Caenorhabditis elegans: one gene and its partner. The protein of the gene in region 1 interacts with the protein of each later gene in a pairwise test. Each region holds a gene or a part of one and is shown on either strand. Other genes may lie near its edges.

The links. Proteins that work in one complex are often made in the same cells at the same time.
Region 2: the proteins of lips-1 (region 1) and R11F4.2 interact in a two-hybrid assay, tested with the Caenorhabditis elegans proteins (one large-scale study listed by BioGRID).

What each region holds. Positions count from the first base shown.
Region 1 is NC_003284.9:12,489,986-12,498,651, forward strand, and holds lips-1 (Lipase), read left to right. Parts: upstream 1-2,781; 5' UTR 2,782-2,879; coding exon 2,880-2,980; intron 2,981-3,563; coding exon 3,564-3,654; intron 3,655-4,343; coding exon 4,344-4,525; intron 4,526-4,576; coding exon 4,577-4,715; intron 4,716-4,770; coding exon 4,771-4,908; intron 4,909-5,032; coding exon 5,033-5,192; intron 5,193-5,384; coding exon 5,385-5,461; intron 5,462-5,518; coding exon 5,519-5,632; 3' UTR 5,633-6,056; downstream 6,057-8,666. Other genes in the region: tbc-13 (TBC1 domain family member 13), read left to right, coding at 626-793.
Region 2 is NC_003280.10:4,079,139-4,087,785, forward strand, and holds R11F4.2 (G-protein coupled receptors family 1 profile domain-containing protein), read left to right. Parts: upstream 1-3,915; 5' UTR 3,916-3,954; coding exon 3,955-4,065; intron 4,066-4,513; coding exon 4,514-4,974; intron 4,975-5,534; coding exon 5,535-5,793; intron 5,794-5,846; coding exon 5,847-5,933; intron 5,934-6,137; coding exon 6,138-6,223; coding exon of another isoform or gene 6,224-6,227; exon of another isoform or gene 6,228-6,250; intron 6,251-6,795; coding exon 6,796-7,003; 3' UTR 7,004-7,159; downstream 7,160-8,647.

The DNA.
Region 1 (8,666 bases):
TTTTAGAACATTAAAACTTGAAAAGTTCCTGGGAATTCGTGCGATCTTTGCAACATTATGTTTTGTATCCTAATATGAAAAGTCCGGCTTCGCGCTCTCACACAGAGTTCAACACAAATATCAAGTATCACATCTTGATATCTAGAGCAAAAACACGAGACAAGTAGGAAAAGGTGGCTTGATGTTTCTAAATTGAGAGCAAAGTTTATGACAGACTGGGAAACATCAGGTTTATTGGGTTTTTTTTTTCAAAGGAACATATCTTTAAAATGACGCAACGCCTAGCTAAATGTGTCTCACACTTGATGGATAAGATGGCAAGTGACGAATGCGACATTCAACTAGGTTTTTATAGCTTAATTTAAGGTAGGTACTCGAAACTTAAATAGTGCGTGTTTTGAAACATTCATAATCTGTTTTTGTGGTTCTGATAACATGCTTTCAGCTTTTATAACCCCTTTTTACGTAATCAGAAAATGCTTCGAATATACTCTTATGCTCAAAGGTCTATCTAATCCGCAGTTATTTTGTGAAGCAACTAAGCCGACAGATCACATATATTAAAATATAATCACAAGAAAAAAGATTGCAGAGACTCAAATCAAGTCAAACTTTTAAATTTCAGAACTATCCCGACACCGATATTGCAAAAATCGTCGCATTTGCGCAGGACATTCGAGATGGAAAAGCCTTGCGCCCAATAGCCAAGGAAATATCGAAAGGGAGCAAGATCGCAAGGCATGCTCGGCAACTCTCCGACACACTGCGTAATCTGTCAATTATAAAAAAATAGATAATGAATTCAAACCATACAGCTCTCCCTCTCATTCCTTAGGTAGCTTTCAAAATATAGGCCATCCCATGTTTCACTTCTTCCGTTTTCTTCGTTTTTCTTTCTACGTATGTAGTGTCGCAATGTGGAAAGGAAATCGAAATAACATCGGAAACGTTTCGTTACTATAAATAAGATGAAACTTTATACTATATTCAATTTTATTAATCACATTTTTCGTGTAATATCACGAAAACAAAATAGGGTTCCTCATTTCTCTTACACTTTGGTCATTTTGCTTCCCCCCCACTCAACTTTTCACCTACTTTGACATTTTTTACTTGTCCAGAACGCAGTGTGCCTTAACAGTTATATTCGTTGCCAAGATTTATCTTTACAGCTCATGCCCCCTCCCATGCCCTTGTGTTCTAAATAATTGTCCATTCAAATGTTTTCGCATAATTTATCGCATAACAAACATGATTCACACTCCTATTTCACTTTATCAGTAGAACATTTCTTCTAATCCAATCAGAACTGGCACAGAACAGAAAAGGCCAAGATCAGGTTGTGTGTTTTGAACCAGCCTTTTTTCGGCCTTGTTTCTGGATGGGTGCAACTAATGAGAGTACTCCGGAGCAAGCAAAATGGGTCATTGTGAACGAAAATCGTCGTCAGAAAAGCCCCATCATAAATGTATGACGGGTCCCGCGGCGCATTGAGTAGATATGACGTAGTTGATGACAACAATTACAAGGACTCTATTCTGCTGATCCGAGTTCATCTCATCAGAACAGTATTCTCTTAATGATTATAAAATGGGAATGTGAATTTAGAACTTTGAGCATAATTTTTCATTGTTCTAATGTTCCTTCTTTTGTCTCAAAAATTCGGTTCTCTTTCTTCTTGTGTTCGAATGTGCTCATAATTAAAATGCATTTTCTTCCAATCAACCGGCCAAAAAAGTTTTGAATAAACCTGTTTACAACACAATTCTACAATCTCGTAAACTGAGAAAAGTTGTGCATTGAACCACAGAAAGGAATGGTGCACGAATCAGAAGCACAACAGGAAACCCTACGTAAAAGGTCCATGGGACAAGAAGGAAGTGGCTACCTTTGGGTACAACGTCATTTGAGAATAGTCGCAAGTGGGCATAACCAAACTAGATCCAAAACTGACCACTACACGAACAGAACTGAACTGATAAGATAACTATTATCAAAAGAGCAATGTCGAATGTTCATCAAAACACGAACCTTTTAATGCGAGGAACATCCCATTTAAGGTCAACGGAAAATAGTTCCCAAGTTCCTACCTGGTTTTTAGTTTGTTCAATTTTCAAAATCGTGGCAGAGATCAAAATTTGTAATTTTATTTTGCTTTGAGCGGTGATCCTTAAAACTCCGTTAACCTTATTTTTGTAACGTATTTTTTACTTCGGAAACTTGCAACTACTTGATCTACATCTGTCAGGTGTGTCAACTTGAGCGATTCAAGTTTCATTGTTTCTCGAAAATCACAGATGGAATACAGTAAACTAAAGATTTCCATCAACGTCAGCGGTTACTCCAGTTTCTTTTAAGATTAGCCATAAACGATCACAAACATTTTGAAGCGATTCGACACTTGAGCTAATCGGGCCTTTGATTCTTCAACTCTGAACAGTTTAGATACGATAATCTTTGCCCACTTCGGACACTACACTTCTTCGGAACCACTTCAATGTTTCACACGCGGACACTGTCGTCATCGTCGTCGTTTCTTTGATCAAATCTCAACAGTCTCAATTTAAAGAATTCTACAGCTACTTTCGGTCGGGCGGTCTCCGGAGCGTTCGTGATGTCTCATAAGGGGCGGTCTCGAAATCTGTCCAATCTGTGTTTTAGCTCTTCGTAAAAACAGAGAGCATTAAGGCAAGTCTTTTTCTCTGCAGCGCCAAAGTTTTTGGTTTTCTACTGACCGCCGCTTGGCACTGCCCCTTTTCTTCACGTCTTCTAGTTTGCTCGACGCTCTTCAGCTCAACTCCTCCCACCGACCGCTTCATCTTTAGATTTTTCATATCTTCTGTCGCCGGGCGCAGAACATAGTCGTCTGATCTGAAATTATGCTTAACAATATTCTCATTCTTGCTGCACTGTCCTGTACGGCAGCCATGGCAGACATCTTCGGACCACTCTCAGATCACTTCATCAGTCACCTTAACAAGTAAGTTGAATTTTCGCTTTCTGAAAAAAAATCATGCATTTGACTTTAACTTTGGAAGTATAAATTTTTTTCTCAATCACTTTTCTGCTTATTCTGATCCTATTAATCAATCACATGTTTTTTTATCAGAGGTGTTCGAAGAGTTTTTTTTTCTGAATTTGATTTTTATTGTCACTGATCTAGATTTTCCACTATACATTTATAAATGGCTAGTCTGTTTTTTTTTCTTTTCATCGTGTTCTTTGATTTATTTAAATTAACTTTTGATAGAATATCGTCATTTTCTACATTTCACCCTCACTTCCTTTTATAATTTCATCAATCAGTTAGATATTGAGATGATCTATGCTTTTTTATTTTCAAAAGTCTGATAGACATGGAAGATTTTTGGACTTTCCTTTTTTTTTTGCTGAGCTCATCTGTTGGTACTTACATTAAAGGCTCATACTTGTTTCATGTTTTATAGTCTGTTGTTACTCTTTGATGTTTGTTTGTGAACTAGCCACCCATAAATAAGGAAGAAATGATGGCTGATCAGAACACACATTTGTAAATGATGTGACTTTATTTTTGACATTTCCAGACGGCCTAAACGAAATGATGCGTTGCTCCGTCAAATCTCGGCTTTTGGAGAAACAGGTTCATTCGGTGGAAAAGTGTTCTCAGAAGAAAAGGTATGAATAATGTTGGGTAGTTATGGTGTGAACTTTCCATCAACCGTGATTTTGTGTTCTGATCAAGACTTGATGCTGGTCACAAAAAAGGCTGTTCCTTTAGCGCAAATAGCCATTCTGACGTCGTTTCTAGCTAGTCTCAAATGTAGGTGTAGGTGGTAATCAGGTCTTTGGCAGAGACAATGGGTTGGGCTTTTTAATGCGTGGGAACTTTCAAATGCTCTCAGCATTAACTCTAAGAAAACGTAGCATACAAAAAAAAACTACGTAATAACGAAACATTCCAATGGGCCCCACGCAATTTTCATTCCGGCTCATTGAAGATTGACAGCATAACATTGGACCTTTCTATTTTGTGTTTTTGTTGGAGAAATATTATAAGGTCACCCAAAAGTAACTCAAAAAATGGCTGCACATTTCCTTTTTCCTTCTACGTATTTCCCTAAAAGGTCCAAGAATAGAAAAAAAATAAAGCAACCTTTTTGATCGGACACCGTCAATCACAATCATCATAATAGAGAGCACAAATACTTCGTCATTGCGGTGGCGGAGCACAGATAACTCAGTCTACTTTAAGGGATCAGGAAACGCGAAACGCACAGAAAGAGAAGTCTTAAAACAAAATGATAAAATGACGTTTTAAAACTTCTTGGATTTTTTCTATAAATATATATATAAACGAAGTTTAGCTAGGAAACACACCAATCGTCTTCATACATGGAAACTCTGACTCAGCATTAAAATTTGGTGATGGTCCATTCCAGTCAGGATGGGATGAGATTTTGAAGTATTTCATGTCAAAAGACTATACATTGGCTGAGCTTTACGGTATCACTTATGGAGACCGAAACATTTCAAATTCATACATCAGGTGAGTGGTCGTGACTATATAAGTTTAGACTGGAATTTCACAATTTTTCAGGCATTTCAACTGTCAAAATGTGCAGCTTCACCGACGATTTCTCGAGTTTGTCTTACATTACACAAAAGCCAAACAAATCAACATTGTTGCGCACTCTATGGGTGTCAGCATTGCCCGAAAAGCGATTCAGGGTGGCGAGGTACTGTGAAAAAATAACATCAGAATACATTGACATTTATTGTGCTCTCTTTTAGTTTGTGACCAAAACTGAGTCTTGCGACATCGGACCCAACCTATCGCATCGAATTGGCACTTTCATTGCTCTTGCGTCAGCAAACTATGGAATGTGCCCATGTCAACATGCATTTGCCTTTCCAGCTTGCGGAATGGAAGTAAGTATATCTTATCTTGAATAACGTCACTCTGGTGCTTATTGTAATGACTCAGTAAGAGTCTATGAATAGTTACAATGCCTCTTAAAACTAAAAACTGTACTCATTTTTTTGTAATTTCCAGACGGGATTCTTTCCTGGCACCTGCCCAGAAATGACTTGTTCATCTCAAGATGTGAATATATCAGAGACGTGCGGAGAAGTACCCTACTCCAACTATCTGATGAACCTGAATAATAGTGGAAAGAAGGACGCATCATTTGTTGCAAGCTTATGGAGTGATGGTGAGTAATACCTATAACAAAAATATATCACATAAAAAACTTATTCGATTATCGGATTAATCTTTCCAACATTTAAACCGGAATTTCGATCGGAACTGAATATGAAACTATTAACACCTACACCTTATATTTAGAACGTTTAGATTTAACAAAATAGAACATAAACGAATAAGCTAATTCAGTTTATTCCAGACGATGAAATTCTTGGAAAAGGAAACATGGTTTGGGGACGGCAAACGTCTTTAGTTCCACATTCAGATATGCGTAAGGTGAGTCACTGCAAACGAAATTTATAGAAAGAAATGTACTAACTTGTTCAATTTCAGATCTACAGTGATTTGAAACATAACGATGTTAAACTGTTAACTGCCGAAGACCAGTACAATATCATTCATATGAACGATCAAAAATTCAGTCTTCACGAAACAACGGAATACTAATTCTATCGTTATAAGTTAATATTTCAATTTTATTATGGTCATAATTTGCAACCACTTGTCATTCATTTCCATCCCATCCTCGATTTCCATGATCATCATCTCTACTACAAAATTATCATTAATATTTCTGAATAGACTACCTACTTTCAATGTGATACTCATGTTGTATCTTCCGGTTGTATCCTCATTAAGCAATTAACGGGTCGTTATAATTTTCTTTTACCATGTTTTGTTCAAATTTGTAATCACTACTTCGTTTGTTCTTTCTTTCTTATTACTGCTAGTTTTTTGTTGTTGTAGCGCTTTTAATGCTTGTAATTTTGGGAATATTTGATTCAATTCCAAAAACATTTGGTAAAGTATTTTTACTAACTTTATTTTTTTTATAATATTATAATTTGAGATAAACAAATAGATGTAAGTGTATGAACCTTTTGATTTCATATCACGAACCAAATAGATCAATGCAACACATTTTTCATTCAATGCTTAGATTAACTATGTTTCCGGGATTATTAGTAGGCGCTGACTAGTGAGATGGATTAATTGACAATCTTTGCTTTCAAAATTTTTGCAACATCAAACTAGCAAATATTATAGCAATTGATCTGAAAACAAAATAGCACAATGTACAACAATGTAGCACAATAGAACAATGTAAACTTCGTACGCTCTCTCAAAAATCTTCTAGAAAGAATTATTTCTCAGAATTATTGAGAACATGTTGTAATCAGTTAACAACTTTTATGACAACTTATGTGTACACTGTAGTGGTGAACGTATGCACAGAAAACATGTTAAGGTACTTGTGTATTATACCCCTCATTTTTAAAATTAATTAAATTATAAAATGTGATGTTTTCCCTATTGAGGGATAGAAATGTTTCTTCCCTAAACCCATAAATACAAAAACTCCACACTTTTTTATATTAAAAAAATAATTTGTTTTAAAAATGAGGGGTATAATACACAAGTACCCATGTTCATGACAAAATACAATGAAAGTTAAACATTTTTCCAGAAAGCTGTAATATTTTTCAAACAGGTTTCGAAAATGAGAGATTTGCAAAAAACCCCTTCTAATTTTTTGCACAAAATTAGGGAGTTTTTCAAATTTGAGCCAACTTTTCTCACTCCATTATTGTTTCTAGCGTATGCTTCAAACTTGACTGATATTTTTGCAATAGCAGAATAGAATTTAGTTGTGACATGTGTTTTATGTTTATCAGAAAATTTCAGTTTATGTCTTAACCAGTTTTGTCCGCTTTTCAAACATGAATTTGTTTTTAAATTTGATTTGAAATAATTGAAAACTGTGCTAGAAAATTACAAGTTACAATTTATAGTGACAATAACAAAATCCACAGCTTTTTGTTTCTTATACTGATTTCTTTTCAAATTTGTAATTTTTAATATTCGATTTCTAATCAAGTTCTTTATTCGACCTCTCCACTTATTCATCTTGAACAAATGCGGAAATATTTCAACCGAACTTCCTCCAATGGGCAGAATTGATCCATCGCAACTGAGGCTGCACATCACGAAAGCGACCGTTCTTGAAACATAGTTTAATTATAGTGCACTATTTTGTTAGTGCATCGTGCGTCACCATTGGCAATGCCGCAAGGTTCCTGATGGATAAAACGCAAATGATTTGCATTAGGATTCTCGGTTAAATATCATTTTGATCCAGCAAGATGAGCAATTTGGAAACAAAATTTTGAATTTCGTGCAAACCCAAAACTAGCTCATATTTATAATTCCTTGAAGACATTCCAAAATTGTTAATGAGATTTTTTCATTTCGTAGGAGATCCAAGTTCACCAATATTGTAGTTTCGTTTTCCTACTTATTAGGTATTCTCGCAAGCTCTTCTCAAACTTAGTTTGCCAATAATTTAGTAAGTCAAGAAAAGTTAAACTTTCAACTTTTGGCTTCTTCTATGTATAATAGGGATTCGACGCAGTGATCATACAATTTCCGAAAAAGAAGTTAATTTAAGAGCTTTGAGATCCGTTCGCAAATCCGACAAAAATGTTGGTTAGGAACGCCGCCTAAGCTTGTTTTCAGCGTTGTTTTCTCCGAATGTCTTGTTGTTTCATTTTGATAATAGCAGGTGACTTGGAACATATATTTTTTGAGGTGTCTGGTACGACAATCATCATAACACATCTAATAGGCTTAGGTGCATGGCGTTCGTTTTGTTATAATCTGATCTTTCACATCGATTACTATATCTTAATAAAATTATCCGCACGATGTGTCTGTCTTTGAATCATATTGAAAGACAAATCTTACTTGGTTCTGTGATGCCGTTCGAGTCAGTCTTAAATCAAACAGGGATGTAATCATGGTTATTATAGTAATTTTACATCATATTGTTGGCATTTTTCAGATAACCAGAGTAACGTCAGATACCGTCATTGTCAGCCTAGATATTGGAAAACAACACGATTATTTTTTCTAAAAGCTTACTCTCCCAAAGGCTCTGTCAGGGCTCTAAACAATGTTGGTTCAAATGTGGAATTGGACATCTAATTAAAAAAAAACATATGAAAACAAACTTTATCGTCTCTCTTACTCTTGCTTAGCGTCAGATGTGCGTGGCAATTGAAAATTTTTAGCAATAGGCAAATTCGGTTTTGCTGGTTTTGTTGTATTTTTAGGTAATCGAGAACTTGGCTGATTGGCAAATTTACGAAATCGCAGGTTACCGGATGAAGATTTAGATATCTCGAAAAATAAACAGCTAATATCGATATAGTTTATCTTTTCAATTTTCCGTTAGTCATTATTGACAGTTTTGGCGAACGCTGCTTTTTGGAAATTTCGGTAGTTTTTTTTTCAAGTTCGAAGTTAAATTTTGAGAATGAACAAATATTATATAGTGGAATGAAAAAAATTGCTAATTCAAACAAATCTGTTAAAATCTAATTTTAAAGGTACATTTACTACACAGGTACAAAGGTAGATAAATAATTTATAGTAAAATCATCTATTTTGGAAGTGAATATACCGAAATGAAAAGCAAAAT
Region 2 (8,647 bases), on another chromosome or scaffold:
GAAATGCTTGTTTTAAGCAATCTTCGGAAAAGTTTTCAAAATAAAAATATAAAATAGTTTTGCAAAATGTTGATTTCCATCAGTATCTCTAATCATTTTTGTATGTGAGTAAAAATTATTACTATGCGGAGAGGTACTGTAGGGATACTGTAGGAGCACAATTTGATGTTTTGTGTTGTGAACTCAAAAACCTCAAACATTTTCTATATTCCTTGCCGATCCATAAATCCTTGTTTTATTTTTCTTGCAACTTTCAAAATTCTTCAAATTTTTACAACTTTTTCTTTCATTTTTCCAAAACTCCAAACCCGGTTGCTCGGCTACTAAAAGTAAGAAACTTTTTCTTGAGAGCCAAAAAGTTCTGCTTTTTTTCCCACAAACGTTAATATTCGTGATATCGTGAGAAATGGTGGTTTGGGGGTTGCGGCTTCGTTACAAAACGTATTCTCGATCCTAGCCAGATGACGTTTTGATATTCTTTTAGAGCATTTTCTGGAGCTTCACGGTAAATTTTTTATTGCGAAATTTCAGAATGTTCCGGAACTAAAGAAATGTGTATACCCTGAAAGATAGAAAATTTTCCATCTAACAGTTATTCCTTTAACCCCTCGTCACTTTCTCGAAATATTCTACCCTATGAAGACAAACACCATATGTCATAAACAAATGTCTGGCCAACTCTGTCATCAATAATTCACCTATTTTTGGCCATAAAATTGGTGAATTTAGTTGTTTAATCTCGCGTTTTGAGGTGGACAGCTCAAAAGTACTTGTTGTTTCAAAACTAGTGCAATTTTTAAAATTGGCTGGAACAGGCACACGCACCACACACGCACCGCACGGTAAATTTTTAAAAATTATCGATTTTATTAATTGGAAGACCGAGACCTTGAATACTTTTCCTGTAAATTTGAATTGAAATAAGGTCTATTTTTATATCTAATTTCATGGATTATTTCTCTCCTCTTTTTCTATTTGAAAATAGAAGACAGGACAATAGAGAAGCCAATGTGCACTTCTTTTTTTGGGGTCAGGTCTAAATTTTGTTATGTCTAGACCCCCCACTCCCGAAAAAGCCAAAAAGAAAACGGGAAAATTGATAATTTGTGACACAAAGAGCTATTTTACGGGGCGGAGAGGTCATCCTACTTCCCTTGACGGGAGAGTTATGCACACATTTTACAAGGAAGTTAGATGAAGAAGTGCGAGAGGAGTACACTGATGGATTCCCTTGATTCTCACTAATAATTTACATATTAAGTTTGAGGAAGATGACGGTGACCCCTGATTTGATGTCATTTCATCAGACACATAGCTCAATTCTGCGTTGCCAAAGGTCAGACAGGAACGAAAATACTTGCCTGACCAATGCCTACCTACGTCTAAATCACAAATTACCACTTTTCACGTCTTAATTGGCTTTAAGTAAAAAAGTAAATTTTGGCTGTAGGCAGGCGCGTAGGCTTGTAGTCAACCTATTGTCAATTCAAGTTTCTTACTTCCAGTTCCTTCAAACTTGAAAACAATCTTTAATTTTGTTGTTCCTTTTTATTTTTCAATTTCCTGTTCAGTTTTCTTATTTTCCTGTGTTTTTCAATTTTTCATTTTTCCAAATTAAAAATAAGATCATGTTCAAAAACCTTTCTGATTTTGAATGTAAACTTTTACTTCTCAAAACTTCCTTATTCCTTTTCGGAAAGTAGGTAGGTAGGTATGTAAAAACAAAGCGATAGATAGACTGGGTAGGTAGGCACAAAGGTAGGCAGGTATAAAAGTAGGCATAGATTTTGGTAGGCAAGTACATAGGCAGTTATCTAGGTAGGCAGTAGTGTAGGTAAGCATGGTTTTCGGTAGGTAGGTACGTAGGCTGACTGATATAAAGGTGGGCAATGGTGCAACTTAGCAGGGATGTAGGCAAAAATGTAGGTAGGCAGAGCTGAAAATAGGAAAAATCACGTTAGAATTCAAAAAATAAGCGGTAGGCAGGCACGTAGGCAGGTACCTAGAAAGTAATTCATTTCAAAGATCATAGATATTTAAACTACATTTACGATCTAAAACATCTGTGAAAATCCACGTGTTGCGTAGAGCCTGAAAAGGAAAAGGTTTTCAGCCGTTTGTAGATCACTGGCACTGATCACCCGCCAATTTTGACGTCCCCCCCCCCCCCCTGCCACGTCACCTCCTCTCTACTTTTTCGACGTGTGTGTGCTCGGCGAGCTCTCGCCTTTCATCTTCATCTGATTCAATTCCTCCATTCTATTCTGCAAAGGAGAAGATGCCTCGGCGGCGGAGCCAACCCCAACTCATCCGTGAGCTCCGCCCCAAAAAAAGAGCAGGCAGTGCTCTCCAACACACATGAATATATGAAACATTTCATCTCATTTCGAATTCTTTGGATCTGCTCTTTCTTCTGTTGTTGTGTCTGTGTGTGTATGTGTATGTCATTGTTGGGTCCTTGTATGTCTTCAAATTCCGAACAAATTTTTGTTTGAAAACCCGCAATTTCCCTGTCTGGCGGTGTGCTATTTATTCACTCAGTGTTTTTTGTTCGAATTTCCAGCCAATTTTCAATTTCAAAAGCGCCAAATTTTCGGGAAAACCTGAAAATAATTACCTTGCAAATATCCCCACACCCCCACCGACACCCACCCACTTTATTTTGAAAAACATGTTCTGAGATTTTTTGAAAAGTTGAGAAAAACACGACAATTTTCATTTCCAACTTCCTTGCTCTTTGCTACGAGGTGTTTGATTTTTTCTCAAAATGCTTACGATGAGGCTTTGGCTTAGGCTTAGACTTAGGTTTAGACTGAGGCTTAAACTTAGGCTGAGACTGAGGTTTAGGCTTAGGCTTAGGCTGAGGCTTGGATTTAAGTTTGGGCTTAGGCTTATGCTTAGGCTCAGGCTCAGGCTTAGGCTTAGACTTAGACTTAGTCTTAGGCTTAGGCTTAGGCTTAAGCTTAGGCATAGGCTTAGGCTTAGACATAGGCGTAGACTTAAGCTTAGGCTTAGGCTTTGGCTTAGGTTTAGGCTAGGCTTATGCTCACAGGGTTTAGCCTGCAGGGACTTTAAAAACGAATATTAATAAACCTACATTGAAGTTTTCAAAAAGGAGCAAAACAATTCTGTTGCCGAATTGCCGAGTGTTCCGGCTTTTTGGATAGTAATATTCTATGCGTCATCCGGTTTCCCCCAGATTTCTGAGCTTTTCATTCTATTCTTTTAAGAGCGGTTTTTCTCTCACGCCATCACCCAACAAAAAGAGCACCCACTCATCTATTGCAACTTTTCTTCCCCGATTTTGTTCCATTTTCTTACTTTTTTTGCTACGAAAAGCTCAACCCGGGTGGTCCTTTTTGACCTACCTACCAATTTCAAAGGAAATCAAATTGATGTTTGATTCTAGGAAAAGAGATGTCTCTATCTATCTCTTATCCTTTTTTCTCATTTTTTTCTCTATGCAAATTTTAATGGAAACTACTTAGGATGTGGACGGACCTAAAATTGATTAGAATTGGCTTCACTGGGTGCATAACCCCTCAATTTTGAGCTGTAAAAAAGTTATTTTGAAAGAAAAAAATGTTATAATTTTTTTGATCGGTGTTTTACAAATGAAATTGCAGCTTTTTGCAAAAAATAAAAATTTAAAATTTATTCTTTTCAAGTAGATATACCGATGTTTTAAATATGAAAAACAAGGGAAGACGCAGACAGCGAGAGCGTCTGTATCTCTGACCTCTGCCCTCTCCCTCTCCCTTTCTCTTACTCCCTCATTTTCAAATTAACGAAACTCATAGTCAGCGAATATTTGAGCAAGTTGAAAATTTCCAACTGCAAAACTGTTAAAAATTCGATTTTCTATCTATCTTGTAATTAATCTCATCTCTATTGACAGCCCTTAACTCAAAAATTCAAGTTTTCAGCAAAATGAACATCACAGAAACAGCAGCAATGAGCGAGGCGTGTATGGTGGAGAGCCTGGATCGACGATGGTACCTGGTAGCAGTTTGTGGAACATCATTATCGGTTTTATCAATTGTTTCAAATATGTTGATATCAAAAGTGAGTGTTTTTCATAGTTTTGATTTTAATTGGAAAATGCTTAATTCAGCTTAATTTGACGAAAATTTTTGTCTTTTAAAATTGATTTTATTTTCGAAAAACTTAAAATTTTGCTTTTCCACTAAAAAAAGTGTGGTCTTTTAAAAATAATTTCATTCAAGATTTGTCGGAAAAAAGACATAAGAAAACGTATTAGAAATATTCAAAAATTCTTTTAAAAAAAGTTGAAAAATTGAGAGAGTTTAAAACAACTTTGAGAGTTATAAACAAAATTGCCAAAAACCCATGTTCTTCACACGAAATTTCAAATGTTTTGGGTAAATCGTATGGCGACCAATGAACGATGAGGTAGGGGAGGGGCCAGCGCCTGTGATTGGTCCAATTGTTAGCCTGACCAATCAGCAAGGCGATCGGGTCTGCAATAAGAAAACATCTTTTTAATTTCCAGGTCCTACTATCCTCGAAGCACACGCACTTCTACTTCCTAGCCCTACTCGCCTTATCCGACTGCTTCTTATCTCTAAACTACGGTCCCGTGATAGCAATGGACATAATCAAAGATCGTGTGAAACTGCGTTGGCTCTCAAATCTTTATATTCAATACGTGGGACCCTTACTTGCTCTCTCACAAACCTCAATGACTTTCTCATGCTACCTGATCATCCTGGCGACCATCGAGCGATATCTGATCACACTACGCGCAAAATGCCTCGGCACATTTCGACAATGCCGGGGACTCTCTGCACTTTGTATGTTCATTTTGGCTCTGTTGCTCAGGGCGCCCATCATTTTCGAAATGCAAATAGAACAGAATCCCGATTGTATTGGCGAGATTAGCGAGTACTATTTGAACTTGTCGCCGATTGTGAACACGTTTTGGTATGGAACTGTGTACCGGTTTTATGTCAGGTAGGTGCAGGGATTTGTTGAAAAATTGGAGAAATTACAGAGAGAAATGAACTGAAAATTTTTGAAATTAAAAAAAAATTGTTTGTCCGATATTTTTGAATCTAAAATTTATTTTAAACTAAAATTATCAACAAAAAATAGAAAAAAAAATATAATTTCAATTTTTTAATTGCATATTTGACCTAATTTTGAATAATTAGACTTAAAAAAGTACTTGAAATTTCAAAAGGAATTTATCGAAATTTCAGAAAATGGAAAACTCTGGAACATTTTTTTTATAACAAAGTATTGTTTTTAACCAAAAGTTTTTCAAAACTAGGTCGCCTACCTACTTGCCTGCCTACCGCCTATTTTTCTGTACTTTTGGCAATAGGCATGAGTGTAGGCACAAGGCAGATGTATAAACCATGAAATCAGACCTACAACTTGCTGAAAATAAAAAAATTTAAAGTTTTCCGTATCCTTTTTCTGCTCAATTTTGTCTCTATTCAAGCATCAAAAAAGTTATATTAAAACAATTATTTAAAAAAATAAAATACCAAGCCAAAAAAATCTTTCAGAAACATCATGACAGTCCTGGTACCCTTCGTTCTGCTGGCCATTCTTAATTACAAAGTCGTGAAAATTCTTCGAATGCAGCAGAGATCGGCGCAAATGTTCCGTTTTCTATCAAGTGATCATAAGACGAAAATCCGATCGGCAACAATTTTGATGGTATGTATCGTTTTCTCGTATCTTCTCGCGAATATTCTAAACGTCGGTGTCACACTGTGGGAGTACGTGGCATTTCAATCAACACAAACCGGAGACGCTTATGCGGTATGTTGAAAAGTTGCAAACAGCAAACTACAAACTACAATTCCCAATTTCAGTTCTACGAAACTTGCACCGATGTGACGTCAGTACTCTACATTCTGGTGTGTGCCACGCGTCTTTTTGTATATTATTTGTTCAATCAGGTAGGTTTTTTTTTTTTTAATTTTATCTGAAAAATTCTTTAAAAAATGCCTGATTTCTTGGATTCCCGCCAAAATTTTCTGATTTTTTTCCGAGTTTTAGAAATTCCAATTTCATAAATTTCACAGCAAAAATTATGCATCTAAACTTCTCTCAGAACCTTTTCCAATTCTCATAAAATTTAACAAAAAAACCAAAGATTCCAGGAAATCCGCGAAGCCATCAAACCTCTCGTCTGCCACAGCACGAGTGCTCCTCGCAAGCAGGACTATGTTACAGTAACCCGAAGCTTGTAAGTTTGTCTAAATCAATTTTTCGTAAGCAGAAATCTGAAACCTATCCATCACCCTGTCACTGAGTCCCGTTCTCTCTTTCAGACAATCCATGCCGTTGGCGGTAGTGGGCGCCCTAACATTCCTCGGTCCAAGACAGACCGGCATCGTGAGAAATCAGCAAAAGTAGGGGAAAATTAAAGTAGTTGAACTTCTGCTATCTATTTCGCATGTCTACTGTATCTCAAACTTCTATCTCCCAGACTCTCTTTGCTCTCCTCCTAATAACTTTCCGTCACAAGCTTACTTCTAGGCGCACACACTTTTACCAATCCAGTAAGATGTCGGCCGCAGCCCATTGACTGCAGCCGGCACTTCATGGGCCAGGCTGGCGTATGCAGGACCGGGTTGGCACGTGAGGTGTCCGCAGCAGATTGCAGCCGACATTTCACAGGCCAGCAAAGCTAGCGTTCGCCTAGCTAGCCAAGCTTACGAGGTGTCGGCTGCCGTCTCGTTTCCGCGGCCGACACTTTACGAGCCACCAGCTATCATCCTACCATTTTATCTTCCAGTTAACATATACTTCTTTCAGCGACTCCTCCCGCCAAATCGGAACCGAAATCGATGCTGTAGCAATTGCCATTGCTCGAAGGCTGCTCTCGAGTGAGCTCGTCTTCGGAGGTGGAGGCACCAAAGAGGCCAACGACTCATACGTCATCTCAAACCACCACGCGACCACATCTGGAGACGAGGAAACCGACGACGACGACGACGATGAAGAGATTCCATATATGGTTTGAGAAGAAGCGGCTCCATATATTTGCACATTCTCCTCACCCACCTCATTATTTTTTTCCTTTCTGGATTGTATACTTTACTTTTTCTTCTCCTCTCTCATCATACATATGACCAATATCACGGGGTAAAATAGCGAAAATAAATTGGTATGTTTATTCTGAATGGGGTTTTGCACAAAAACTATCAGATTCACATCTCATTAAAAACCGGATGCTCTTTCATGTCTTACTTGGTGAAAACTTCGGGAGACAGACACTGGGGGTTTCTTCAAAACCTGCTAAAATTAAAATTGAAGTTTTGATCTAGAAAAATTTGATCTACAAGTAAGGGGGGACCCTAATTTCAGCAAGCTTACTGCATTAGATTTTTCAAATTGAACAAGCCCGGTAGATGTCGGCCGCTGGAAAAATTAAAATTTTGTAAGACAGGAGCGCTTTCTTGTCAGTTCGGAGTGACCATCTGAGCTTTTTTCGAATTAACCAAAGCAGCTGATATATTGAAGATTTTAGTTCAAGCAGCCGAAACTTTAAAGGTGTGTACTATTCTCTGCAACCGACGTTTCACAAGCACTTCTTTCAACAAGCAACATTTTACAGGTACTGTGCTTAGCGGCCGAGGTTTCACAGGTAATTATCAAAACAGCTAAAATTGTAAGGCGCATGCGTCTCCATGCGTCTCTCCATTTACAGGCCCAATTTCGAGCAGCCGACATTTTACAGGCACTACTTTTACCAGCCGACATTTAACAGGACTTCAAATTTTTTTCTATTCAAATTTTGCATTTCAAATTTTCAAACTTCAAATTTTGCATTTTTCATCGATTTCAGGTGGTTTCAGAGCCTTACTTAAAACAAAAGTTCAACATTTTATTATGTTTAATAGTTTCACTGATTTCCACTAAAGCTCCCACAAAACTCCTTCTAACCAGGACTTTTCCACGTGTATTTTGCTGTTTTTGTTCATTGTTCACCGCTCGATTTCACGTGTGGACGGGCACAGTTCACGTGAAATGATGTCCCATTCTACCGTACTCTTTGTGATAATGGCTTATCATTTGTAGAAGCGGAATGTGAAGAAGACTGATGAATGATAGATTGAAACTTTCAAAAATCAAATTCGTAGGTTTTATGAATTTTTTTTGGGTTTTTTTTGTTCGACAAGAAAAAGGCAGACATTTTTTTGCAGAAAAAAGGGTGTAAAGTCTGAAAAAAAAGCGATCGATTCAAAAAGTGTTCAAAAATCATACAAAAATTGCTTTCGCTGCGGGATCCATTTTCGTTTAAAGACCCTTTTTGATAGGATCAATCCTTGATTTGACGTCTGTTCAATGATAACTTTGTGAATCCGAGGTCAGACCGATTCTCGCTTCGGGACCCTTTCTGATTCAAACGAATATCTCAAGATGTTCAAAAGATTTTCTTTATTTTCCTAAACATTTTGTGTTTTTCACAAGTCACGTCATTTCATTGACGTGGCTCCCCTCGAAGTTCAAATGCTCAACAAGAATCTTTTCTCAAAATCTTCCTCCAACAGCTGTACTCGAAGGGCCCCGTATCATTTATCACTTCCCCCCCCCCCCCCTTAACTCTCTTTCCCCTGTCTCGTATTCTTCAAAGATGATAAAGACAAAAAGTGAATCGTTCGAT